Linked DNA regions of Oryzias latipes. The protein of the gene in region 2 purifies or fractionates together with the protein of the main gene of each other region. This does not show direct contact. Links are inferred from orthologs where the notes say so. Each region holds a gene or a part of one and is shown on either strand. Other genes may lie near its edges. The genes, in order: mettl9, slc30a4, pds5b, cip2a, fut8, pds5a and c4h19orf25.

Region 1 (4,087 bases), on a different chromosome or scaffold from region 2:
TATAGATCTAAAGCTACAATCAGATACTCTTATTGTGAATATATCAAACGTATGCAGCACTTTTCGGTTTCCTGTTGTCACTTAGAAAGAAATTCACTACTTGATATTAAATTCAGTGCAACAAAGCAAAACAAAAGCATGGAATTCCATAAAGTTTAGCTTGAGGTTTGGCTTTAATACTGAATCGAAGGATGGAAAAGATTTCAAGTTGTTAAAACTGTTTTGGTCAGGTGCATAGATCCATTACGAGTGATCTGGAAATGAAACAGTTCGTAAAATATGATCAAGTTTAGGATCTGGTGGTGCCAAACGTGGCACAGAATTACGCTGATAATCCAACAGAAAGATGCCAAAAGGTGTGACACTCCTATAGGCCAAGCGGCATGTTTTCCCTGCAGTCGTGTAGCAAATGCATCTTAGTGGAGCGGCGTCCAGCATTGTGCAACTAATGCTTGGGATCTTGCCATCATTACCAACCTTGAGGGGGGAACAACGTGAAACGCTCATAAAGTGCTTCACCTCTGGGATATTTCACCTGGAAAACCTCTGTGGGATTTTATGTCTCAGAGGGTGAACAGGCAATTGTAAAAATCTTGTGCAATGGTGAAATCAAATATGTAGTACTATAAATTGAACCGTTTATGCAAATATTGTCAGAAATTTTGGTTAAAACGTTGACAGTTAAACATTTACATCACAAATAATGGACTTGGAAGACAGAAAAACTTTTAGAAAGGATGATCCCCCTTAGGTTTTCGTTTGAAATAACAGTATAACAAACTAAAAAAAAAAAGAAAAAGGAAATCACTGCTGTGTTGCGCCCAACTCCCTGCTTCTAAATTTCCGAGATGAATAAATGCATGAGGAAGAAGAAGAAGAATTGCACTAAAATCCAGGTACTGAGAAGAAATTTTGGGCCCCGTGTTGTGTTCAGAGCTCATGAACAGACTGCTCCGAGTCGCCGGAGGCCTTCAGAACAAAAACCGCATCATCCAGCACATAGTAGTCATTGTACATGTCTCCCTCGCACAGGTACGGCAGACGCGTCACCGCTTCCACCTCAAACCCCACCCGCGGGAAAACCTCGCTGGACAGATCGGTCACCTGCTCCTCCCACGTCTTTCCTTTAACTTTCAGGTGTTCTTTTGGTCGTTCCCACTTCCCGCCTGTCAAGCAGAGAAACGATGCTTGGATTTCTAGCTAGATGAAACGTCAGCAGAAGAGACAGAAATGGGATTCCTCACTGACCGACTTCTACGTAGGGCTGAAAGGGAAGCACAGCAGCCAAGACGAGCCGTCCGGTTTTGGGAACCAAGGCTTTTCTTATTTCCCGCAGGAGGTGCAGTGGATCCTCGCAGCGGTCCAGCAAGTTCAGACAGCTGATAAGATCATACTGAAATCCAACATGCTGCCACTCGTCTATACCCAGAACCCTGTGGCACACGGGAAAAGACAACAAAAAGACAGAGAGGAAAAACTTCTAATTGCCAATTAATTTCAACCCAAAAGAACACAGTGTTATTCTGTGGTTGCATTCTTGTATTGGCTTGAAGGGAAGGAACCTGTGAAAGCTTTTAGGATATGCTTCTACTCACTTGTAGTTCCTCCTCTGCAGATGCCACTTCATTGGCACAGACACCTCAGTTGCAAAGACCTGCCTGAAATGCACTCCCATCACCTCTGTGACCCCTCCATCACCAGCTCCAAGGTCCAGGAGTCTCTCTGCCGTCCAGTCTGGGCCGATCCGGAGCAACTGCTGGAACTGCTCGGACGAAAACACGAACATAGACCCTCTCCCCAAAACCCTGTGACACAGAGGAGGGTCAGGAGCAGGAAGAGGAACACAAGCTGCAATTCAAACACCCACTAGCGCTCACCCGTTAATGGAGGTGCGCGACAAAACGGGGCTTAGGACGGTGGACACCAGCGAGTGGTAGAGCTGCGTGAACAGCCAGCCGGACTTCTCTGCGCTCCTGTTGAGAAAATCCGTGGTGTCCGAGTCCAAGTGGCTTTGGATGAAGAGAGGCCGGACGGATTCTCCCAGCAGATCTGGGCAGCATCGGTACCACTGAACAAACAGAACAAGAGGTTTTGATTTCACAACACTTTTTAAGAAGTCCTGAGGTGAACTCCATCTCCTGTCACCAGTCTCATACAATACCACCCTTTACCTACCCCACAGCCCCTCCCTGAAAACAGTTCAGGTCTGTTTGGATTGAATTTTCTCAGCTCAGCAGAGGTGGGGCTGTGTTAAACTACACAGCAGAAAGTAGAATTTAAGAATTATTTCCTATTTAAATGTTAAAAAATAGTCTTTCCTGTGCAAAACCAATTTCCCCCCTTGTGTTTCAATCCCAGTCATCTTTAAAACTACTGTCACATTGTCTCTTTCAGCATAGTTTCTTTTGCAAAACAGAAGTTTCTCTTTTCAGCATCCCTCTGAATCATTTAGGTCAGTGCAAAGAGGCTAAACGAGCAACGAATAAATAACTAATGACAAATTCGTGACACATTCGAATAAGGACATTCTTGGATTTAAAATAAACACTGTAAATTTAGATTTTGTAGTTTTATATTTTCAGAAAAAAAATAAGGACAGTCGTACCTCGTGTGTTTCCCTGGCACCACTGGCCTCGTGCTCATTCACCATATTCAGGACTAGAGAGCGCACGAGCGGGCTGCGCGCGTGCTTAGCGGTCCACATTCTCCTGATGGAGAGCAGAAACGCCACGTAGCCCAGCAGCCAGGCTACAAAAAACAGAGTCTTCAGCTGTAGATGACACATACGGAAAACAATGTCTGAGAGCCGAGAGAGCGGCAGCCGACAGCAGAGGGACAAGAGCAGGTAAGACGAGAAAACCCCGAGAGGAGAAACGTCTCCTATTCCAGGACTGTAAACCAACCTGAGGTGGGCGTGGGGGGACTTTACGGAGGCAAGCTGCTATTTACGCACCATCTTAGTCCAAGCGGAGCTTTGTTTGCTGAGCTGAAACGGCAGAAACTGAGCCGGGATGAGAAACACTCCCCCCTTTAACAATAAAAACAACCATATCCGCATTCTTCTTCTGGGTGTTTGGGTTGACATAGCACCGAATCTTTGGGGATTTACTGCCCCCTGTCGGCAAACACCGGCAACTTTCTGTTTTCCTGCTGAAAAGGGGGTTCCACATTTCAAGCCATTAATCATACAGAGTATCTAACTTATACCGAATGTATGTAGTGATTTATTTATTTCAAACATGTAAAAACAATAAAAATAACAAATACGATCATGATTTTCAATACTTGGAAAAAAATGTTTTCCATTAGACTGATGATGATGATGATAATTATAATAATAATTGTTGTGACTTTATATGATGTTGCTCCGAGTTACCTTAGCGTGGGTGCTATCAGCGGGTCTCTTAATTAGGACCGACGACAGGGACACAGCTTTCGGTGCAAGAGCTTTTACATGTACTTTACTCTGAAACCCCTCATGGCATATACAGGCCGACAGCACCATCTATTGGTGGCGGTGGTTATTACTGTCTATCACAATATACCACATCCCTCTTTTCCCAAGACATGTTAGTCATAACATCTTCAACAGTTGTTTAAACACAAAAGCACCCTCTAAATAATTTGAACATTAGACGGTCTTATGCTCTTAACATAATGGCTAGGCAAATTCAGATTGTAAACAACCTTACATTTAACAATGTGCATCTTAGTGCAGTAGTCTGAAACTTCGACATACAAACATTTAACTTATTTCTTAAAATGTTTTAAAACGAACATACTCTTTTCTTTTACGTAACCATTAAACAAATCAAAGCAACAGTATGAACACAAAACTGTCACATTAACTAGTCTCTGTATCTGGCAGGACGTATGACTGCTCGACCACTGCGTGTGAAGTACGGTGCTGTGTTTTCCATACTCTCTGAAGATGATTTCTGTGGGGAATCACATGCTGGTGGATCAACTGACTCTGGGTTTTGAGATAATAGTCCATCCGAGTCCAAATTCAGAGTTGTGTCCTTAAACAAACTTGAGTGTGTTTTCCTCAGATGCCTTCTGTTCCTCCTGAGAGTATTACCTGATG
Region 2 (2,423 bases):
AAACTAAAAATTCCAGCTGTCAAGAACCCTCAAAAAAAGCTATAAATAGGTACAAGAGGAGTATTTGTATTCAAAGACTACAAGTAAAATTGGGAGGCTGATTCTTAGTCGTACTTCTGTCTGTTGGTTGGTTCAACTCCCGAGGCTGACAGTTAACCTAATCCCACAGAACCCCACATGTTGAAACCCTGCAGGCTGCTTTGGACAGAAGCTACTCACTGAGCTGTAGATGAACTATAGCAGCCGTCTTGTCAGCCGTCAGTGCCCACACGTTCAGCTCATCGATGGATTGGACATCCTCCAGCTTCAAGAGGTCTTCTCTGATTCGCTGAGTGTCAAGGTGTCTGGGCACACCTGACATACCATCACAGAAACTTTACTGTTATAGATCTCCTATCCGAAGCAAAGATGACATTAAATGGACATTGGAAATAGAGCAAAGACTCACCTTCCAGCACAATGACTATTGTGTCTCGAATGATGCGGATTGTGGTGAAAAGAACCAGGACTGAGAAGATGTAGGTACAGATGGGGTCTGCCAACTTAAACTCTGGCTGTAAAATTTAAGAATGAAAACAATAATAAGGAAACCAAATATTTAAATATGAGAGAAAAATGAGAAGCAAGTTCTGAAAAAAGTTCTTTGTTGATGTTTTTGTCAGTGTACCTTGAACCGGACAACATAGGCAGCAATAAGAACCCCGACGCTCTGCAGGAGGTCTCCCAAAGCGTGGATGAAGGCAGCCCTCACAGCCAGGCTCCCATGAGGCTGACCAGACCCAGCCGGCCGTGAACCTGCAGCAGCTGCAGAACTGTGCGAGTGGCCGTGACCGTGGCTGTGCGAGTGTAGGTGGCCGCCTTGGTTTAACAAAAAGCCCATTCTAGAAAACCAAGACCAGAGGACATCAATAATCTTTCAACTTTAACTTACATCATCGTTTTTGGAACTGATGAACTGAATCCCATGAACTGAAATCAAATATTATATAATGACTTTATAATATAACACTTGCACAGTTTTATTTTGTAAAGAAACCTTATGTTAAGGCTTTGCATGTTTTTGAAAGGCTTTGAATAATAATCCAAAGGTTTTACATACATGAGATTAACAGCCACTCCCACAGCAGCAGTGATGAGCATGACATCCCCATCTATGCTGAAGTCTTGGTGAACAGTCCTCTGAACCGCCTCATAAAGTAAAACACCAGTCAGGATGTAGATAAGCACCACACTGAGCACGGCTGACACCACCTCTGCAACGACAAAGGACTGTTGTGTTAGCAAAAACCTTCACCAAGCCAAAAAACAAAAGCTTTTTGGAAAACATCCATGGCTCACTTGATCAAAGATAACAATTTATTTGGTCTTTTTTGAAAAAAAGATAAAAACACCAATGTTTAGGAGATTTCAACCCTAATAAGTGATTGTCAAAACACCTCTTGCTTTACATTAATTTTTAACACACTTGAACAGAACATTTTTCTCTTTTTTTGCCAAAAGCAGTAAACTTCTTTTTCTGTGATACAACGATGCTGACTGGGTGAATTTTTGTCTTTCCCCGATGTTTTGCAGAGTCTGAACAAGCCTTTATGGACCGGTCCACAAACACAAGCTGATGTGTTTGAGTCTAGTTCGTCTGCAAGTCGAGTTTTAATCACATTTGCTTCTCCATCTCTGATTTTATGGAAAAGAGTCAGCCATTACCTGCATGAGGAGCAAAAGATGTCTGGCTGTTTAGATTTGCTTCATTTGTATGAGCATGAAAGCTCATGTGAAATTTAAAGGAGGACTAAACAGATGAATCCTGCTGTGCCTTAAAAGGGTGGGTCAAATGTCTGTTAGCAAGTAAAGCCTGACGGGATGGAGCTAGTGCAACTTCAGACCAGAATCATCTGGAAAATTTCTCGTCAGCTGAGACGGATTTAGATGCTTCTTTATATAAACCCACAGAAATACAAAAGAACACAAAGCACAAGCTGAGTTTTCGTTTTTGTTTCTTCCAAATTATTTTCTCCTTTGTAACTGTGTCTCAGGAAACCCTCTCCCCTGAAATAGCAGCCAAAGCACTTGGTCCACTCTCAAAAGTGCATTGTGAAAGCAAACCAAAACAAAAGTTGCTGATAGCCAGCTGACATAAGCTTAGTGTTCTAACTAAGAAACCACAAGTGTGAACACAAATGACCTGGTCTTAAAAAAGCTAAACAGACATCTCAGCCTCTTTTCTGTTCAGAGTTCACATTTGACCTACTTTGCTCATAAAGAGAGACGTTTTCAGAGCAACGTCCATACATATAGCTCACAGGGATACTAGATTTTTCTGGCTTTAACCTCTACTCCCTTGCTTGCAACTATGCTTAAAGGTTGTTGTTTGCATCGTTTTAATCGTTTTCTATGGGAATTTGACTAAATGTGGAGAAATCACA
Region 3 (4,049 bases), on a different chromosome or scaffold from region 2:
TTTTTTAATCCTTATTATTACTATGTGTATTACACAACTCTAATTTTAAACAGTAAAATAAAAAAAAATCTAATCTTGGTGATTAAAACTAAACATTCCAAACTAAATATTCGTTTATTTTTCTAAATTTAGAAAAGATTTGATTAGCTGTCAGGTTTCATTTAATTACTTTAAGCTCTTTTACTTAACTGTTTTTGATTGGAATGAAAAACAGAAAACATATTAAACACAATGTATAATGTTTTTTTTAAATAAGAGAAGAGAGCATTTTGAAACTTTTAGATCTTTCAGAAGACAAGAAATATAACTTTTTTCTGCTTTTAAAAATCCTCTCTTATAGAAAGTGTCAAAACTGCTGTAAATCGGACTGAATCACTGTTCTACCTAACAACAGTGGGGTTGCTCAACACAGATGTTAGTAGGTCAAGTTCCTACCTTATCTTGAAATCAAAAGAAATGTTACACCTCCAATAATCAACCTTAAAAAACACACCAACAACAAAGCTAAAAATAATTAGGATCTGTTACTGATAAGCTTTTAATATTAAAATACGTAGAATAAACAGAGAGTCAACTAATTAAGAGAAATTAAAAATACAGAACAATGCCAATTTTAATGACTTAAAAATAGGAATTGAAGCAATAGACTTAAATGCACTAAAGTGGCAAAATGAAATAAAAACATAGAGATTAAAAAAAAAAAAGGCAATTTCAACATCCTTTTTTTAAAAAAGAAAACTGAGGGATGGAAATCTAATCAGATTTCCCCCCAAACTCATCTAAGAAACATTTTTAAAGCAGAGTTAAGAATCATTCTATCCTTCACTCAACATGTTAAACACAAGCTACTGTAAAAGCCTTTACTGGTTTATCACAGTCCAACACACGTATCCACCCCACAGAGGGTTTTCCATCAAGCTGTTTCTTCTGCTCTGCTCACTTTGATCCTTTAAATATAGCTGCCAGCCAGGGCGCTATTCTCCTTTCCTTAATCTTGAACCTTGACAGAGGCAACATTGGTTTAACCCTGTAAGTAATCACCAGGAAAGGAAAGAGTGAAAGCCAAGAGAATGTGGCAGGGACACCAGCGTCTGGAAGGGCGAACCCTGTGACCCCCCACACACACCAACACAAAGAAAGGACGGAAAATGAGCTGACAATGTGAAAGAGCTTGATTTCACTGAAATTAAAGCAACTTTGGAAAATTTGAGGAAAAAACACCAACAATAGATTTCAACGAAGGCTGCCAAAAGAGTTAAAAACTGTCCAAAAATAACAAAAAAGAAACAGGAAATAACAGTCATAAACCTGCAAATCTATAAATAACAAACATGTGAGCAATGCTCACACAATTGTAGTTTGCGTATTTCCCTTAAAATTCAGCTAAAATTGAAATATATAAAATGTGTTTACATAGACAACATGGCTATGGTTCAGAAACACATAACTATACCCAAATAACATTAATCAAAAGCTAAGAATGAAACAAAGCATGCTCGAGTAGTCATTTAATCCTATCCAATTTCTAAATCCAACTCAAGTCATTCATTAACAGAAAGAAAAGAAAACAAATCAACAAACGGCTTGAAAGAAATGTTAAAGTTTTGGTTCAACACAACTTTTGTATACATTTGTAAGTGTCAACATAAAAGACTTGTGTCATGGCTACAGTGTCAACGACCACACAAAACGCGATTCCCACACACATCTGCAATGTTCAGCCAGCTTGATGGTTGTCAACAACAACACGCCGTAGCGCCCTGGAGGAGACTGTCAGCGCAAACATACTGACACTTCATAACTGTTCCTCCTGGTTCCATACTGCTATCTTGAACGGGGAAACTTTGCAAGATGCTATTATTTAATGAACATAATGTGTGCAACAAAGAGGCGTGTAGTTAGTCGAAATCAGATGATACGACGAATTTGAATTATAAGTACACGTTTTCTTTAATCACCTGCGTTGAAAAATATTACGGTGAAAGTATTTTATAGGGCTTTATGTTATCTCACTAGGTCATCTCATAGAAGAAAGTAACAGCGAAAATCACTGTAGTTAGTATTCGGGATGCATTCCAGCAATGTGTTTAAATTGAGGGGGGAGGGGTAGATAAACCATAGTTTGTAACTAGCAATTAGGCTTTAATTAGCATTTTTTAGGGGTCGGGGACCGTTAAAAAGGCAGACACTACTGAGAGTCTGGCTATGTTGACTGAAGCTAACTGTGTTAGCCGCCGTTTGCTGGCTCGCACACATGCTAACTCCTACATTGACTAGCGCGTGCAAGCTAGCGTTAGCAACAGCAGCAATCTCAGTGACAGAGGGCGGACAGACAGTAACGCTGATGGAACAAAACACTCCGGCTAGCCACCTTTATATCGTACCTGGTATCTCGACCCTTTTTCCCACAACCAAGCCCAACTGGTGTTTGCTTTTACTGTGCTATGCTAATAAGCTAGTTTTAGACGGGCTAGCCGTTTTTTGCGCCCAAGCAGCAAGTCAACCCAGCGCTGTGAATCGGACAAGACTACCGAGAACACAGGCGAACGAGGCGGGCTGCACTCCACATTGTTGCGCCAGAAACCTGGCCGCTTCACGGGCACATCCCGGATCAAACTGATGTTTTCGCAAGCGGGCATGCAAAGGCTGCTAATTTAAAATGGAACAGGTATCCTCACAAGTGCATTTTCATACCTGTTACGATGAATAGTGATAAATAGCGTCCTCCTCTGCAGCTCTCTTCCCCCTCCTAGCTCCAAAATGGCGCCAATATGCATAGATTCAGAACCCATGGGTAAAAACTATCAGCAAGTGTGTAGTGCCACCTATAGGCGACTACAGATATGACTTTTGGACCCAATTGAGTCGTTCATGCGGCGTTCAAGTCATTGAATGAAATAATGGAAATATTGGCGTACTTTACATAAAGATGGACGAATTTTCAAACAACTATTAATCAGTCCATTATAATTATAAAATCATGTATTAGCAGTTTCAGCTCGAGATTTGTGTTTGGAAAAAAATACGAGAACTTTCTAGTTTTGTGATTTATTGAATATGGCTGTGGTTCCTGTTTATATTTCTGAAATCCCTTATGCATATATACATATCATGCAATTCATTATATTAATGAGAAAAAATTATTCAGCGTTAAAATCAACACAGAGAACTTAAAAATCCCCACTATCCCGACGACGCGTGAACGCAACGAAACGCTTTGACGTCAAATTTATATTAGTATTTTCCTTTGTTCCCAATATTGAACCAATCAATCAATCAATCAATCAATCAATCAATCAATCAATCAATCAATCAATCAATCAATCAATCAATCAATCAATCAATCAACCAACCTATCTATCTATCTATCTATCTATCTATCTATCTATCTATCTATCTATCTATCTATCTATCTATCTATCTATCTATCTATCTATCTATCTATCTATCTATCTATCTGACAGCAAGAAACACTAAGACTGAAATTAAAAACATAAATTTTATTTGATTCAGTTTCTATCTCACTTTTCTTTGAAAAGCAAACTTTTTCTATCCAGTGATTCTTATTTTTGAGGCTTCATGACCAGTTTCTTTTGTCTGACCACCTATTCATTTAAATTTGCATGTATGATACTTTCATCCATCAGTTCTCTAACTACAGCTGTTTATGCTTAGAGTCTATTCATAAGGGGCGTTTGCTGTCCTTTTCATAGGTCTTTAGTCCTACATGAATTAATTTTATTTTAATTCTTCTTTACATCATCTGGTTTCATCATACTCTGAAGTATTACTTGGGCAGTTCTGACGTTTTAGCTTGCAGGCCAACTTGCTTGATTGTAAACAGATTTATTTCTTAGTATAAATGATGAATTAATGGTTTCATATTAACTAAATATTTTTATATTCATATTAAAATGTGTTTCTGTCCTTTTTTTCTTGGGTAATATCCCTACACCAGCCTGTCATCTTCTCCACTTTATCACTGCAGGTGCTCTCCACCACCATAATGCCAGCCTCAAACTTGACAGTGACGTCATTTGTGTTGGGCA
Region 4 (4,047 bases), on a different chromosome or scaffold from region 2:
AAAATGTGGCACGACAGCCTGGCGAGCTCAGCTAGCGAGTCGGGTGGTTAACAAAGAGACGGGGAGATCCACAAACCGAGAACAAACTCGGCCGATCTAGGGAAGGGCTGTATTTCGACACAGTGACAACCGCCCTCACCTGTACAGGAGGCTCAGTCCTCATTCAACGGAGAGATTCGGAATGGCAACGGTAGAGATACGCAAAGTCGTCCTTTGTGTTGGAGATTAGCCGCTCCGTGTCACTGCTAGCTGTAATGTTAGCTTGTAGGCTAACTAGCGGTTAGCTAGGCGGGACGGAGCGGTTTACTTAGCGCCAGAACCGGCTTCACGTCACCGAATTTGGTAAAAACAACGTTTACTTTACGTTTGAATCTAAATTAAATATTCCGTTTTTATATATTTTTTTTTTCATTTGAGTTTCCAGCAGTTACATTATCTGTCTCCTGACAACAACGATGTTATTTTTATATTTCCGCCTGCACTCAAACACGGTTCAAACTGCTCCCTGTCTGTCTCTCTTTCCGCCCGCTTTGCTTGCATCGATTCAAGAGGCGCCAACCCTTTGCACCAATCAAAGAAGTCTATCCTAGACGTTTCAGTGTCTCCTTTTACGATAGGTCAGCTGGCCCGACACTGATAACCAATAAGAATCAGAGAATCGCTGGGGCCCTGCGGTGGGGACATGTGCGCCGGTTTTCTTTGTTCTCCAAATTGTTGACGAAATAAAATATAAAACAACAGTTACATAAAGCACAAACGTTTAGCACAAACAGCACAACAGATTTATAATACAAGTTTTCAATAAAACATTTGTATAATAAATATTATTGATTAATCATTTAACATTTAAATTAATTTAGGAGCAATCCTAAAATAATATGAAATTGTTTATGCTGTTTTCATGTCCAAAAGTATGAAAAATATTTTTTTCAGTCATTTTCAATTTTTTTTCCTTCATGTCTTAATTGGTTAACTTCAGAATTCTCTTTGTGAGTTTGCAAAATTTGTAACAAAAAAGTTAAAAAACATTTGATAAATATTTTTTTTACATATTTAACAAAAAATATATTTTGTTACTTTTTGAGTGTGTGCGTGCGTGTGTCTGTATGTGTGTATGTCTCTACGACGGTGATTGGTTACCTGTCTTGTTGCGTCATCACTTCGGGTGATATCCATAAAATTGGGGAGGGGGGATTTTTAGAATTTTTGTTTGTTTGTTTATATAGAAAACTTAATGGTGACGATTTAATGGGCCTTATATAAAACACCACTTTCAATAAAAAATATACTACAGACTAATTTAGAAGGCAATTTGATGTTCATCCAGTCAGTTAAAAAAAGCTTTCCCGAACAACCTTTTTTGGACATGGTTCATTCCTTCTTCGTTCGAACCTGGAAGCGGGAGGACGTCGCTTTGCTTTAGTTGATATTAATGAATGGTAGAAAAGTGAAGTGGCTGAACAGCTATAAATGTGCTAAAATAAGTTAGCGGGATTTGTTTGTTTGTTTTTTTCAAATCACAGCAAGAAAATTGGTTGTCCCGCGACTAGTGTTTGCCGTTGAGCTAACTTGCTAGCGGGCGTTAGCACTTGTCATAACAGTCCCCCAAGATGGACACAACGACGTGTTTGAAGTCTCTGCTGCTGGCTATCCAGCAGTACAGAGACGGCAGGACGGCGCAGCAAGCAGCACAGCTTCAAAAACAGGTGGAGGTGAGCACCAGCGGTCAGACGTAGTCTTTGTCACTGCTCGTGTGAGACGTCATCTGTACTCTGTCACTGTGAGGAACAACAAACGCAGAACTCTGCAGCAAAACTCACCTTTATTTTGTCTTGGCACAAATGTTTGGTTCGTGTTTTTGTCAGAAACCCGCAGGCAGAGTTTGTGACCTGGAAACATGAATGTGATCAGGTTCTGATTTTGCTCCTGAACTCTTGGCCTTTCCCTGATATGCATCAACATAACAGAATTAAACAGATCATCTGGGTTGCTGACCAATCCAGAACCCTGCTGGCTGGCTGGCAAAGAAATAATCAGTCGAATTAGTATTCCATTCAGAAGTGCACGATTCAATCAAAGTTACGGTTTGACATAATTCAATTTAGTTTGCACCAGTTGTTGCACCTGCCCTCCTTTGCCCTCTTCGGAGTGAGCTGCTGGGGGGGTGGGGTGGATGCACTGACAGGAATAGGAAGAGGATCACCAAACTGGTGCGAGGATGTTACGGAAACTGGAATCCATCATGGACAATCCTCTTCACCTTCATCATCCTCAGCATGTGACCACTGAGCAGCTCCTTCAGTCAGAGACTAACAGATCACTGCAGGAAGAAACGCTTCTTCCTGTCAGCTCTTAGACTCTACAGCGCCTCATAGACGCTGAATCATAATTATTGTTGTCATTAATTCAAGTGTATTTGGAGTGTTGTTTATTATCTGCTGTTTTTAATAGAGCTACGCTCACAAGGAAATGTCCCCTTTTGTGGGATCCATTTTTTCAATTCTGTTTGTTGCGTGTTTGCAGGAAGTTTGGGGCTTGAAATGCGAGCAGCTGCTGACATCTGGCAGCGCTCTGACCAGCGAGTGTGTGAGCATGTTGGTGGAGCTGACTGCAAACCCGCACACTGAGCCCAGCCTGAAAAGCTCCATCATCTCTCTGTTGGCGCAGTTAGGTAGAGTTCAAAAGTTAAATCTTACCAAGCATGTTTGTACCATATTTAGCTAAAAGAACTTATTGCACTGGATACAATACATAATTACCCCCTGCTTTACTGAGTTAATTACCCATTTACAAAGAGCACAAGTGACATGCTACCTGTCAGGTCATTGCAGTTTATAACTCCACACCTCATACCTCCACTCTACTGGAAATGAAACACACACAGTGTACGTATGGCTTTGATGAATACAGCAGGAATTTCTGTCCAGGTTTCATTAGTTTGCTCCTCAAATATTTGATCATTTTTTAAAAATGAACCATAACCAGATCCAAAGAAACCACAGAAACGTGTTTGTGTTCATAAACCAGGAGAGGTTTGCAGCAAATGATTAGCATTAACACGTTTAAGTCAGATCAGTGAGACGCTCTTTGGATTTTTCATGAGTTTAGGAGGAGGAATTTCACAATCTAGATCTGATCTTTCGGACTCATCTGCTGCACGTTTTCCTCCACCCGCAGCCTCTGACAACTCCACCCGGGAGCTTCTTCACAGCAGCTACAACCTTACCAGCACCCTGGCTGCTGTCATCCACTGCTACAGCAGCACTCCAGGAGAGCCGCTGGTGCTGCAGGTGAGAGCAAACGGTAGTCATGGTGAGGGAGTGACCGATCTCAGAAGGAGCCCCCACTTTAGACAGAGCTTTCTGTCGGAACTGTGCTCTCCTGTTGTTTAGATGTTCCTGCTGATGCCTGATTAGGTCTCATCCGAAGCTGCTCCCACGTTAGCTGGCTGCTGAAACCCATTTCTCTCTAAAGAAAAAAAATATTGTGTTACAGTCAGGACCATAAATATTTGGACAGAGACACGTTCTGTCTAATTTAGTTTCTGTACATCACCACAGTGAATTTGAAATAAAACAACTCAGATGCCATTGAAGTGCAGACTTTTAGCTTTTATTTATGGGTTGAACAAAAGATTGCATAAAAATGTGAAAAAGTAAAGTGTTTTTTAAAACACAAGCCCTTCATTTTTTACCAGAACCATCAACCTGACTTTAAGCAATGACATAAAATTGTTTTCAATAACTTTAAATTATATATAAATTACATTTTCTATAGAGGCAGATATATATAGATATAGATATATAGATATAGATATAAATATATTTTTCTAATCAGTTTTTTTTAAATATTCTGATGTGGGTGCTTTTCCTGACCATTTTCTCTTATAATATTTTGCCAAAATTCTGATTTGGGTGATTATTATCTATGCTTCTGCTCCTGTTAACAGTGGATGTCACGTTGTGCTGGTGGTGTTTCAGTGTCTGCAGGTGCTGCAGAAACTGACCTACAACACTCGCGTCTTTCAGTCCAACAGCTGCATCCACC
Region 5 (3,500 bases), on a different chromosome or scaffold from region 2:
ATGAGACGAACCAGGTGATGGAAAGTGAGAAAAAAAAAACAACGAGAAACAGAAGAAAACACAGAGATTGCTGGCGATGGCTTGCAGCTAAATGCAAAGAAGATGTGTAGAAAAATAGAAGATGAAGGAAAACTCAGAACCACGTGGGAGACGGATTTAAACTTTTAAACTAGTTCCTCTTTTGAAGAGTTGAAGCTAGGTCTCATGCAAAGCTGCGGAAAGGTTAGCAAACGAACTACGGATTCTACAGTCTCCTGTGGAAACCATACATGCTGTCCCAGAGTCTACCAGACTAAATGGGTTAAAACAACAAGACAGAATCTTTCATAACGTCTGAAGTTCTGACAGAAAGAATTATTCATGAGTCAGGAGAGGCTGCTGGAAGGAACACCAGTGTTGGTTAGTGAGCGTAAACAAGCTTCCAAATGTGTCCAGCCGAGCTGCTTGAAAAGATGCTTTCATAAGTAATCTGGTGAACATTTATACAATTAAAGAAGATCAGGGTTTACTGCACTAAAAACAGACATTAAAATGACTGAGGATGGCTTTCGTCCTTTACGTTAGGATTAGAGGAAACACGTTTATGACCGAATAAAACAGAGTTAAGCTCAATTACAGCTATAATGTTATTCATGCAAGAATATCTTTAGAAAAAAAAAGTCAGCCAACAGCTCAGAATTTGATAAAAATGAAGAAATTCTACTGACAGCATAAAACATCACCTACAGATTATTAATATGTGAAGCTTGAAAATCATGCTTTAGTGAGGCTTTGAGCTGACTTTCTATATGGGGTCAAATCAGGATCAGCTTGAAGTGAATAAAAAACAGATGGTAAATATGGAAAAACAAGAAATGAAATTTTGAAAATGTAAACTTAGGCTCAGCACCAAAAGGGAAAATTCTGAATGAAAACTGTAAATGGAACAACTGAGAGCAAAGGGAGAGAAACAAACAAACAAACAAAAAAAAAAAAGTTGAAAAAAAAACCAGCAGTTGTTACAAATGGTAGCATTTTTCGGTTTATTGTTTCATATGTACTTTGAAAAAATGCAATGTTTCTTCTAAGTTTACCATGTATACTTTTAAGTTCAAAACTGTTTTCCAAATCTCAATTTTCTTTTTCAAAGTTGTCTATTTTTTTCTAATTTTTAACAATTCTTTAAAATGTATTTTTTCTTCTTCAAATTTACCATTTTATTTATCTCGATGTGTAATTTTATGTTGAAAACTGCTTTCAATTTGTTTAAATTCAAATTTAAAATGTCTATTTTTCAAATTTTCTTTTAGGTATCAAATTTATCTTTTTCAAATTAAAAGATTTGTTTTTAAAATTTTCAATAGTTCCTTCCTGAAGGTTTAAAAATTTCGAGTTTAAAACTATTTTCAAATTTTCCTTTTTTTTTCAAATGCAACATTTTATTTTTCACATTTTCAGTATTTCTTTCGAGCCTAAAATCTATTTTTTCAAATGTACTTTTTTTAATTACAATATTTGTTACAAGTTTACATTGTTAAAACTGTTTTCAGATTTCTTTTTTTTCTTCAAATTTTGTTTTTATATTCACTGATTTGACCCCATACTTTTATCTCATTCCATTGTCTTAAATTGTACATTTAAACAAAACTGAACAGCGTATTCTTCTTTAATACCCTCTGTGTTCAAAGTTTATGGGCAAAGTAATGTGATCCCTCTAAGGTCGACCTGCTTGGATCAATAATGCTTTACTTTCTGATTAAAGAAATAAAAAAGTACAGGTCTGTGAAGTTAGCAGGGTTTAAACTAAAACTAACTTTACATTTGGGGACTATCAGGAATAAATGTGCAGGTTGTGAGTTTTAGCAGAGTCTGGATGACAATGTAGGTCAGCTTTTCATAAGACTGCTGTGTTTAGGCCTCTCGTGGGATTTGTTGACAAGAAGAAAAATGTAATAAAACGGCAGCACTAATTAAAAAAGACCACTGAAGATAAAAGAATGGCTGCCAGGCCACTGTGTTGGTTTTTTTTTCCAGTAATAATGGATCTCGTTGCTTGTTGGGTTGAGATTTATCGGCTCTGAAATTGCCTTTGGTCTTTAGTCATACTTCATATAAATTATCCAGCGTTTAGTGGGGCGTCGACAACAACTAGATCAAAGAAGTTGAGATCGACAGTTCGATCCCCAACATTTCTGAGGCTCCCAGGGCGGGACACGAAGCCTCAAAATACCATCAGAAATGTTTATATATATATATATATATATATATATATATATATATATATATATATATATATATATATGGGATGCATAAATATAAACCCAGTGAGAAGTTTATGAACTTATGGTTGTTTGCAGCACACTGTGGGGGTTCCAGAGGGTGCAGATCGTTTAGTGATGAAATTTCATGCAAAACAGGCAGTTAGGCTGTTTTGAATGAACATGAGTTGGATGATTATCAGAAAAACAGTAAAAACTGAAGCCTTGAGTGCATAAATGTAGAAAATAAAGCCACTATCAAATGAAGTTGCTGAAAAAAAAACTCCAGAATTGGCCTTCCACTATTATCATTCAGTGTTAATTTCAGGCTCCATTCTTGAATTTCTTTGTCTTATGTTCTTTCATCATAAAGCTCTTCTAAAGCTTTACTGCAGATGAGTAATAGAAGAGCAAACTGCATTACTGGAGCTTTAAAGTCCAAGAAAAAAAGAGCCACACAAGCACAGCCTCCTTACCCAATGATGGGATGCTTGAAGCCCAGCTTGGCAGTACTCTGTTGGATCTCCTTCTCCAGCCACCCCTGAGGACGAACCAGGTATTTGACGAACTGGGACACCCACCAGACGGACGGGTCGCCGTGCAGACGGTGCAGGCGCGGGGCCAGGTCTTCTGGGATTGCCAGGGGTAAGTAAGGGGGTCGAGGGTGAAGGCTGTCCACTATAGGCAACTCCACAACCTGAACGTCCTTATCATGAGCCTCCCCTAGAATGATTTAAAAAAAAAAAAAAGGGAGGGGGGGGGTCAAACATGACACTATGGATTTAGAAACAAAACAGATGTGGGTTATCTGGGTTTTCCTGAGTGCAAATAATCATTTAGCGGTTTTCATAAAACATTTTATCAAAATTCGAGTCACAAATGTAGATCATGATAAAGTTGTTTTGTCTGATTACCAACAAGCACTCAATAAGACAAGTAGAAAACATGACAGCAGAACATGGCTTTGAGATCTGACTTGCATTTATGCAATCTGCAAACTTTTGGACACTTGCAAATATTTAAAACCTTGTTTTTAGACATTTGAGATATTTCAAACGGTTTTAACTTAAATCTACAGCATTTTTCTCAAAATCAGCAAAAGTTTTCGTCTCATTAGGAGCTAGGATCTAGAAATAAAGAAATTACTATAGGAAAATACGTCAAAATCCTTTTGCTCCAAACTAAAAAAAAACTCAAATTGCACCGCATTGTTATTTTAAAGTTCAATAAAAGTTAAGTTAGAATGGCATATATTATCATTAT
Region 6 (3,500 bases), on a different chromosome or scaffold from region 2:
GTCCATCATGTGCATCTGCACCTTCTGATTGTGGCTGTTACTGTTCAAGACCAAACACTCAAATGTTACACTTCATTTTTCTTAAATGGAACATTAAAACAAACTAGCTTAAAAGAGCAAAAGGAAAGCAGTTCTATGACTAAGCGGACACTCAGTATTTGATGTAAATTATCCGTCTATTTCAAAAGGTGCTTATCAGACCGCCTGAGTCTCCAGCAGGAAGAGTTTTACAGGTAAGAGCAGGTTTCTAAAGCCTTACTTGATGACGGAGAACAGCGTTTTGAAGAGCTGGATGAAGATCTCATTACAGTCCTCCAGTTCAAAGCAGATGTTGTATGACTTCACCCATGCAAGGTTCTAGAAAAAAAAAAAAAAAACGTTTGGAAAAAAAAACCTTGATTGGTTTGTGCATGACTGCATTTTGTTTGAGACAAAGAAACTTGACATTTAGTCTGACTAAATTCTAAAAACAGACACTTTCAATAATATATAAATAGCAATAAAAAATACATAAATAAAGAAATAAAAGAAATGACTTTATTTATAGTCATATATTAAGACATTAAGCTTATTGTCAAAAATCTGAAAGAAGAAGCGACTTTTAGTTGGGCTTCGTTTCTACTGTACCTCCAGCAGGTAGAAATAACGGTTAAACTGAGGACTCTTGGTGTCTTCTAGTCCCTTCAGCTGTCTGGTAATGAAGAGAAAGATGTCCTGCAGAAATAAATCATTTTGAACTCAGTTCCAATATCCGTACAAACACATCTGCCCTTTTAGCAGTGGACTCTTACAGCAAAACAACTTTTTAAGTCTGTTTATTTAAATGAAGAGGCAAAAAGGTAAATATCAAGAAACAAATTTCAAATGAAAATCAATAACTATAGGTTTTCTTTCCAAAAGTCTTGTTAAATTACAGAGCAAACAACTAATAACACCAATGTTAAAGTGATTTAAAACACATTTGTTCCTGTTAGTTCAAGTGTCAGAATGCAGTTAAAATACTTACTTTTTGTAATGGTTATGAATTTAAAAATAATTACACTTTATCATTATTATTATTTGATGTAGAAGAAGCAGATTTAACAACATAACGTTTTTTATCTGACTGCTGTTTATTGCTTGTTTTATTTTGAAATATCGTGAAGTTGGCATAGAAAATAAGTCAAATATATTGGTGGCTCCCCTCTCTTATTGGTAATGGCAATACACCTGTGAATTGTTCAGGATATGATGCATTTAAACCATCTTTCCATAATTCTGACTTAAACTGTGTTGGGTAAAGCATCAGCTGCTAACCTTGAGTTTGTCGTGGGAGGTGTAAGGAGCCTCGGGAGCGTAAATTCTGAAGATATCAGCGAGGCAGCAGGCCACCAGCAGCCGGACATCTTTATTTGGGTTCCTTAGGAAGAACTCGGAGGCGAGGTGGAGCGCCAGGCCAAGGTACTGCTGCTTTTCCTCTTCTGAGTCCTGATCCATGTCCATGTAGGTTTTCACAACCATCTGTCAAGATAAAGGAAGGTGTTAAAGTAAAATCACTTTTATTTATGTCGTTGGCTGCAGGATCCTTAATTTAATTATTGTAATTTAATATTAAATTTACTCTAATAAAGTCTGACTTCATGATAGCTCATGAAGACACCCGATGCAGAATGTTTGTTTAGAGCTTGAGATCGAAGATTGAGCTTGAGAAATGTACCAAGAAAAAACAGAATCTGAGCTCTGCTGCTCCTCTATAATTCAAAGATGCCAGAGGGATCAATGAAAGCTTCTGTCAGAAACTTTTGTAAAAACAAAAAAAGCAAACAAAGTATTTTTTTCATCAAGTCAAGCAGAGACAGGTTGTCGAAGGCTGCTCCACAGCACAGAAAAGCCCCTCTGTGTAAGATAAATCACTTCCAGAAAAGATGATGAAACATGTATTTACATGGTTGTGTCATATTCAAGATCTGAGTTATTAGACTATTTACATAAAATTCTTGAGCAGACAGAATTCAAGATTAGTATACAAATGCAAACACAGCAAAATGACGCAGCTGTTTAAACCATCATTGGCTTAAACATATCAGGGACAGATGGTACAGCTGTCAATTGCTTTGATTTCTACTGTAACAGTCGGCTAACCAGCAGCTGCTCTATTGTCATCAATTTCATTTTCTGTCTTTCCAGCTTCTACGTTCACATCATGCAACTTTTTCCTCATTTAAAACCTTGGAGGTCAGAACAGACGTCTCAAAGTTGAAGCTCTGTAATGGTGCAGCAGATATGACTGAAGCCTGAAGACAAACTGTGTGTGATTCCATGCAACCACACACACGATGTGAATCTGATTTCTTAAGTTACACGATTTTTGAATTTACTTGTAGATGGGGTTTATTTTTAATAATAACAGAAGTTATTCAGACATCAATTTAAATTGACATGAAGGTTTCTCTTCAAAGAGCAGATACTTTCTGGCAAGTATTCACTTTTATCCAATACATTTTTTAGTTTTACATCCGTGCAACTGTTAAAAAAAAAGAGAAGATGGATGACAGTGACATGAGAACTCATTGCACAACTTCCAGAACTGTCATTTCTCCCTCCGTGTGAACAAAAAACCAGCAGCTCATTTATAGACTTTATAGTTGTCATATCAGCAAAGCTAAGGCTAGGGTCGTCTGCACCTCAACCATTGACTGTATACAGAGAACTGGACTGAGTGACCCCTCCCCCTTGCATTCCAAATAGGAAGTACATGCTGGCTCCAAGCAAACAAAAACCCAGAGACTTCTATTTAGAACAGCTGTGCCTAAGTCCTTCCATTGGTCAGACTAAATGTTCTTGTTCCAATACATTTTTCTTAATATTTTCTTGCTAATCTATTTTTTTCATTACATTTTTTCTTTATCACAAGTTATTCAAATTCTAAACTGACCAACCAGATGGCTAATAAAAAGCATGTGATAATAATGCTGGCCCCCACCTTGAACATTTGATTGACGCATTCTCCCTGGCCCGCTTTCAGTGGAAGGAGTGTGGACTTCTAACAAGCTTACTCATGATTGGCCACAGTAGTTGCCCTAGAAACGTAACCGACTAGGATCAATCACTGTCGTCTGGCTCCAAGATGGTGGGGTGTCATGCAAAAATGGCTAATGATTAGGCTTCATTTCGCTGGAGCTGGAGGTAAGGTATTCTCTATGGGTGACGTCACACACAGCATTGTCCAGTTTTCTATATAAAGTCGACACAAAGAAACTCAAGGGGTGGGTTTTGAAAGTAGCCAGCAATTCCAGAGTTACATCCTTAAGTACATAGTTTTCCTGAAAGGGCCAACCTTCACAAGAAAATTAGGATACACAACTGTGTTGTTTTTAAGTCTTAGGTAGATGCCTTCCACAAGCAGGCATGCGCATACAGCCATATTTCTTTTCCTTCTCATTTATTATAAGATCTGTTTTGATTGCAAAAGGTCTCCGCAGTTACAACCTCTTTAATTGTAGAATAAAGTAAAGTAAAGA
Region 7 (3,631 bases), on a different chromosome or scaffold from region 2:
ATTTTCTTCTTCATTCTGACGGATCCCAAATGAAAATCCGTTAGTGTCAAAGACTGGTTGATTGTCTATCAAGTATTATACAGAAATTGCATGTCAGATCTCCTGTTTCTGTCTTTTTCATTTTTAATATATTTATTTATTAGGATTATTGGTATTTGAAGCTCCTGAAACTTGTTAAAGATCACCATCTACCTTAAGGATGTAGAGAATCTCTGTTGTTACATTTTTACTTGTTCCATCTTGATGAAAACAATCTTAGAATTCAAAACGTTCTGATTAAAACAAAACTATGTGAACTCTGTCCTTTTGAAGTGTTGTTTTTGTTGCTGCTTACAGGTTTTTGTTGCAGAATGTTGTCAAAATCGAACATTTTTCAGAAATGTTTTGTTTCTTTAGATATTGCAGAGTACGACACACTTTTAAGGTGGGTGTGATCTCTAGATGTTTTTGTCTTGCTTACGTGATTTGAGAAGAAATTCAAATTCTGCATGTAGTTATTTGTGCTGCAAAAAGTGTCTGGTTCAAATCCCAGCTTTCTTCTTTTGTTGTGGAGTTGCAGCATTTTTCTGAGCATAGGATTGAGTGTGGCAGCCTAAATGAACCCCTCAACATTTCCAGGTTATTTGCCCCCCTCCCAAACCAAAGGAAGCTGGGATAGGCTCCAGCCCCCTCAATGACTCACCACAGGATAAAGCTGGACAAGGAGATAGATGAATATTTCATTTGTCTACCTTATCTGGCCTATTTAATTTCTTTTCAAATCCAGGATTCAGAGCAAATAAATGTTTACTTTTTATTCACCAATATTTTCACGCAAGTGCAACTTAAAAAAAAGTCTTTGTACTTGCTCACTTTTTTTGAAATGAAGAGGAATTAAATGAATAATAAAGAGGAATTAAATGAATAAAAAATTAAATGACCCTTAGAATTGCTTTATCTGCTGTTTTTTATTTGGCCTCAGGACTTTTTCTTTTATGGGGGTAATCTTTAGCACCACCCGCAGATCGTTTTGTAGTTTGCCAGTTTGCTACATTAGCTTGCTAAATTTGAAGTTTCGCAAAAAGGTTTCAATCTAAAACTACATTTCAAATTATTTATGAAATATACTAAATATACTAAATATAAACTACAAACTATGTGAACTTTATTGTGACATTAATACTTTTCCTTACTGACTTCATCTTTCTGTTTATTATTTCAATTAAATTTACCAACATGAATCATATTATTTATTTATTTATTTATTTATTTATTTATTTATTTATTTATTTATTTATTTATTTATTTATTTATTTATTTATTTATTTATTTATTTATTTATATAACAAAAAAGCTCAGTTCTTGGTGCAGGTGCCACTCCAAACCTGAAGGGGGAGACAATGCACCTCAAGGATGGTTGGCACCGGATGTCAGTTTGCGAGAGCCTGCGCATGCGCTGGGGGTGCTCACTGTTGACGTGACGCGTTCATGTTCGGCTCTTGTTGATATTTGTGCACATATCACGCCAGTTTTGAGACCCAAGATGCAGTTGAGGGACCGAAATTGACAACAGTTGCATCCGTCTCGGTAAGGCTTTAAAATCTTTACTTTTGAAACTAATCCCGAGTTTGTTTTAGACCATTTTTCTGATACAACTAAAACCTCTTACAAAATGCATAACGTATAACTTTACGCCATTCTTTTCTTATTAAAAATGTAAATGTTTTGAAAATATCGACTGAGAAACTTTTTCATCGTTGTGGTTCTTAAACGTGTCTTTCAGATTAATTACTCGTCGCTGTTTATATTTGTCAGCAGATTAGCCTAATGCTGGTTTCCCTGTATCTGAAATTAAATCCTTAAAAATATTTTCGAAGTTTTAATATGCAAAAACTTGCAGAACTTTCTCAGTTCTTTCTGCAATTTTAAACACTGTTTCGGCTGTGAACGATTTCTGGCTGCTATTTAGCCTCATCACATCACTAAAAACCTATCTGGTGGCTCCACACTGATGAATAAATGAATGGACGAACTTTATTAATCCCAACAATGGGAAACTCAGTTCCAGTACCTCTGCAGCTCTTTAAGAAGAATAAGCACAAATAAAGAAATGCTACATGTTTAAATTAATTATCTACAGACTTATTGATACTAAGCAGATCATAAAAGAAATTTCTGATTAATGCAGAGGTTCTGTATAAATGTACATTTTGAGGGTATTTCTTGCAGAACATCTTGGTTTGTATTTCAGAAGTTGGAGTCAGTTTTGTTGTAATGAACCTCGGATCGAAAGGCAAAAAACGGGTGGTGCTGCCCACCCGCCCCGAACCCCCCAGTGTGGATCAGATCCTGGAGGACATCAGCAGAGCAGCTCCAAATGACCCAGTCTTCAGCATCTTGGAGAAAACTGGAGAAGGCGAGTCTTTGTCCCCCAAAATAAAGTTGACCACTTTATTTTGCCTGCGAATGATGGGACTTTGATTTTAATGTTTGAGTGAATGTTTGTTGTGTGCTTTTCGGCCTCTAGATCCGACCCTGCCTGCAGACAGCGAGGTGGAGTTCAGGTTCCAGCAGTGCCGGCAGTATCTGAAGCTCAATGAGAGCCTGAAACATGCTCAGGGTCAGCTCCAGACGCAGAGGGGGGAGCTGCAGGCGGCAGGGGAGCGGCTGGACAGCAAGGTGGCTGAGGTCAAAGGCCAAGTTCTATAATCCCGAACTGAATACTGAACTGTTACTGCGGTGCCAACAAGCTGAAAATGAGTGGTTTGGAATGGGAAAGTCATTATCAGTTCAAGAAATGAATCAATCTTGAAGAGTAACTGGAAAAAGGGAAATGTTCCTTAGGCTGAATCGCGACTTTCTGCATCCCTTCTCCAGTCGCAGAGGAATTCAGCTGTGTCAGTGTGTACTTGTTTGGGCTGCTATATTCATAAAGCTGATATGAGCTTTTTTTTTTTGTTTTTTTAATATATTAACCCAGGTTCTCAACAATTGTTTTCAAGTGAATGTACAGAAGGTTTAGGGTTTTCATTTCTGTTTTATTTAATCTACTTGTAGTAATTTTTCTGAACACAAGAAAACAGAATCTACTTTTTGATTTTTAATGCTATCGTGTTAAAACAGAGACAAGAAATAAAAATGGAACTAATTAATTTGTAGATATTTTATTCATTTATTTTGAAAAAATTTGTTTTTATAAAACATTTTGTAGAACAATCTGTGTTTTCATGGAAACACCTTTACAGAAGCCTTCTAGAACCTTATAGTTGTTTGGGTTGGAGAAGAAATGGTGTAAAAAAAAAAGTAACCTGGGTGTTTGATAAAATAAAAGCCCAACACAATGGTTTTAAGAAAACACCACTTTTATTAGATGATGGCATTTATAATGACACAACCTGTCTTTTTCAAATGAGTGACCAATGTGGCCTGGTACACTTACAGGTGGGAATTTGACTCGGCTACAAACTTTGATCCCGTCCTGTCTTGAACGAGGCAGTTAACAGCGGCGGTGAAGAGCTGCAGACGTTTGTTAATCTATTTGTCATGACAAGTTCAAGCTGCTAAAGTGTTGCTTTTACTCACGTTTGTCCATTTACAGTCATTTTACTGCATCTGCTGAGGAAGAAACAGCTCAGACGGATGTTTTAGACAT

The links.
Region 1: the proteins of slc30a4 (region 2) and mettl9 purify together in Homo sapiens (co-immunoprecipitation; 3 studies listed by BioGRID and IntAct, with this or other methods). This does not show direct contact. The link is inferred for Oryzias latipes from reciprocal best matches to the Homo sapiens genes SLC30A4 and METTL9.
Region 3: the proteins of slc30a4 (region 2) and pds5b purify together in Homo sapiens (affinity purification with mass spectrometry; 3 studies listed by BioGRID and IntAct, counting the BioPlex papers as one, with this or other methods). This does not show direct contact. The link is inferred for Oryzias latipes from reciprocal best matches to the Homo sapiens genes SLC30A4 and PDS5B.
Region 4: the proteins of slc30a4 (region 2) and cip2a purify together in Homo sapiens (affinity purification with mass spectrometry; 3 studies listed by BioGRID and IntAct, counting the BioPlex papers as one, with this or other methods). This does not show direct contact. The link is inferred for Oryzias latipes from reciprocal best matches to the Homo sapiens genes SLC30A4 and CIP2A.
Region 5: the proteins of slc30a4 (region 2) and fut8 purify together in Homo sapiens (co-immunoprecipitation; 3 studies listed by BioGRID and IntAct, with this or other methods). This does not show direct contact. The link is inferred for Oryzias latipes from reciprocal best matches to the Homo sapiens genes SLC30A4 and FUT8.
Region 6: the proteins of slc30a4 (region 2) and pds5a purify together in Homo sapiens (affinity purification with mass spectrometry; 3 studies listed by BioGRID and IntAct, counting the BioPlex papers as one, with this or other methods). This does not show direct contact. The link is inferred for Oryzias latipes from reciprocal best matches to the Homo sapiens genes SLC30A4 and PDS5A.
Region 7: the proteins of slc30a4 (region 2) and c4h19orf25 purify together in Homo sapiens (affinity purification with mass spectrometry; 3 studies listed by BioGRID and IntAct, counting the BioPlex papers as one, with this or other methods). This does not show direct contact. The link is inferred for Oryzias latipes from reciprocal best matches to the Homo sapiens genes SLC30A4 and C19orf25.

What each region holds. Positions count from the first base shown.
Region 1 is NC_019877.2:20,101,629-20,105,715, reverse strand, and holds the start of mettl9 (methyltransferase-like protein 9), read right to left. Parts: upstream 2,801-4,087; 5' UTR 2,786-2,800; coding exon 2,606-2,785; intron 2,069-2,605; coding exon 1,878-2,068; intron 1,806-1,877; coding exon 1,596-1,805; intron 1,434-1,595; coding exon 1,249-1,433; intron 1,167-1,248; coding exon 931-1,166; 3' UTR 1-930. UniProt on the Homo sapiens protein: Protein-histidine N-methyltransferase that specifically catalyzes 1-methylhistidine (pros-methylhistidine) methylation of target proteins.
Region 2 is NC_019861.2:12,910,575-12,912,997, forward strand, and holds part of slc30a4 (zinc transporter 4), read right to left. Parts: intron 1,254-2,423; coding exon 1,100-1,253; intron 882-1,099; coding exon 668-881; intron 555-667; coding exon 449-554; intron 355-448; coding exon 220-354; intron 1-219. UniProt on the Homo sapiens protein: Probable proton-coupled zinc ion antiporter mediating zinc import from cytoplasm potentially into the endocytic compartment. Controls zinc deposition in milk.
Region 3 is NC_019872.2:9,916,994-9,921,042, reverse strand, and holds the start of pds5b (sister chromatid cohesion protein PDS5 homolog B), read right to left. Parts: upstream 2,801-4,049; 5' UTR 2,695-2,800; intron 1-2,694. UniProt on the Homo sapiens protein: Regulator of sister chromatid cohesion in mitosis which may stabilize cohesin complex association with chromatin. May couple sister chromatid cohesion during mitosis to DNA replication.
Region 4 is NC_019878.2:3,256,982-3,261,028, forward strand, and holds the start of cip2a (protein CIP2A), read left to right. Parts: upstream 1-1,247; 5' UTR 1,248-1,610; coding exon 1,611-1,712; intron 1,713-2,523; coding exon 2,524-2,671; intron 2,672-3,177; coding exon 3,178-3,290; intron 3,291-3,980; coding exon 3,981-4,047.
Region 5 is NC_019882.2:5,661,912-5,665,411, reverse strand, and holds part of fut8 (alpha-(1,6)-fucosyltransferase), read right to left. Parts: intron 2,961-3,500; coding exon 2,714-2,960; intron 1-2,713. UniProt on the Homo sapiens protein: Catalyzes the addition of fucose in alpha 1-6 linkage to the first GlcNAc residue, next to the peptide chains in N-glycans.
Region 6 is NC_019859.2:13,072,760-13,076,259, forward strand, and holds part of pds5a (sister chromatid cohesion protein PDS5 homolog A), read right to left. Parts: intron 1,501-3,500; coding exon 1,297-1,500; intron 715-1,296; coding exon 628-714; intron 358-627; coding exon 260-357; intron 41-259; coding exon 1-40. UniProt on the Homo sapiens protein: Probable regulator of sister chromatid cohesion in mitosis which may stabilize cohesin complex association with chromatin. May couple sister chromatid cohesion during mitosis to DNA replication.
Region 7 is NC_019862.2:22,306,201-22,309,831, forward strand, and holds c4h19orf25 (UPF0449 protein C19orf25 homolog), read left to right. Parts: upstream 1-1,407; 5' UTR 1,408-1,566; intron 1,567-2,230; 5' UTR 2,231-2,253; coding exon 2,254-2,395; intron 2,396-2,506; coding exon 2,507-2,688; 3' UTR 2,689-3,131; downstream 3,132-3,631.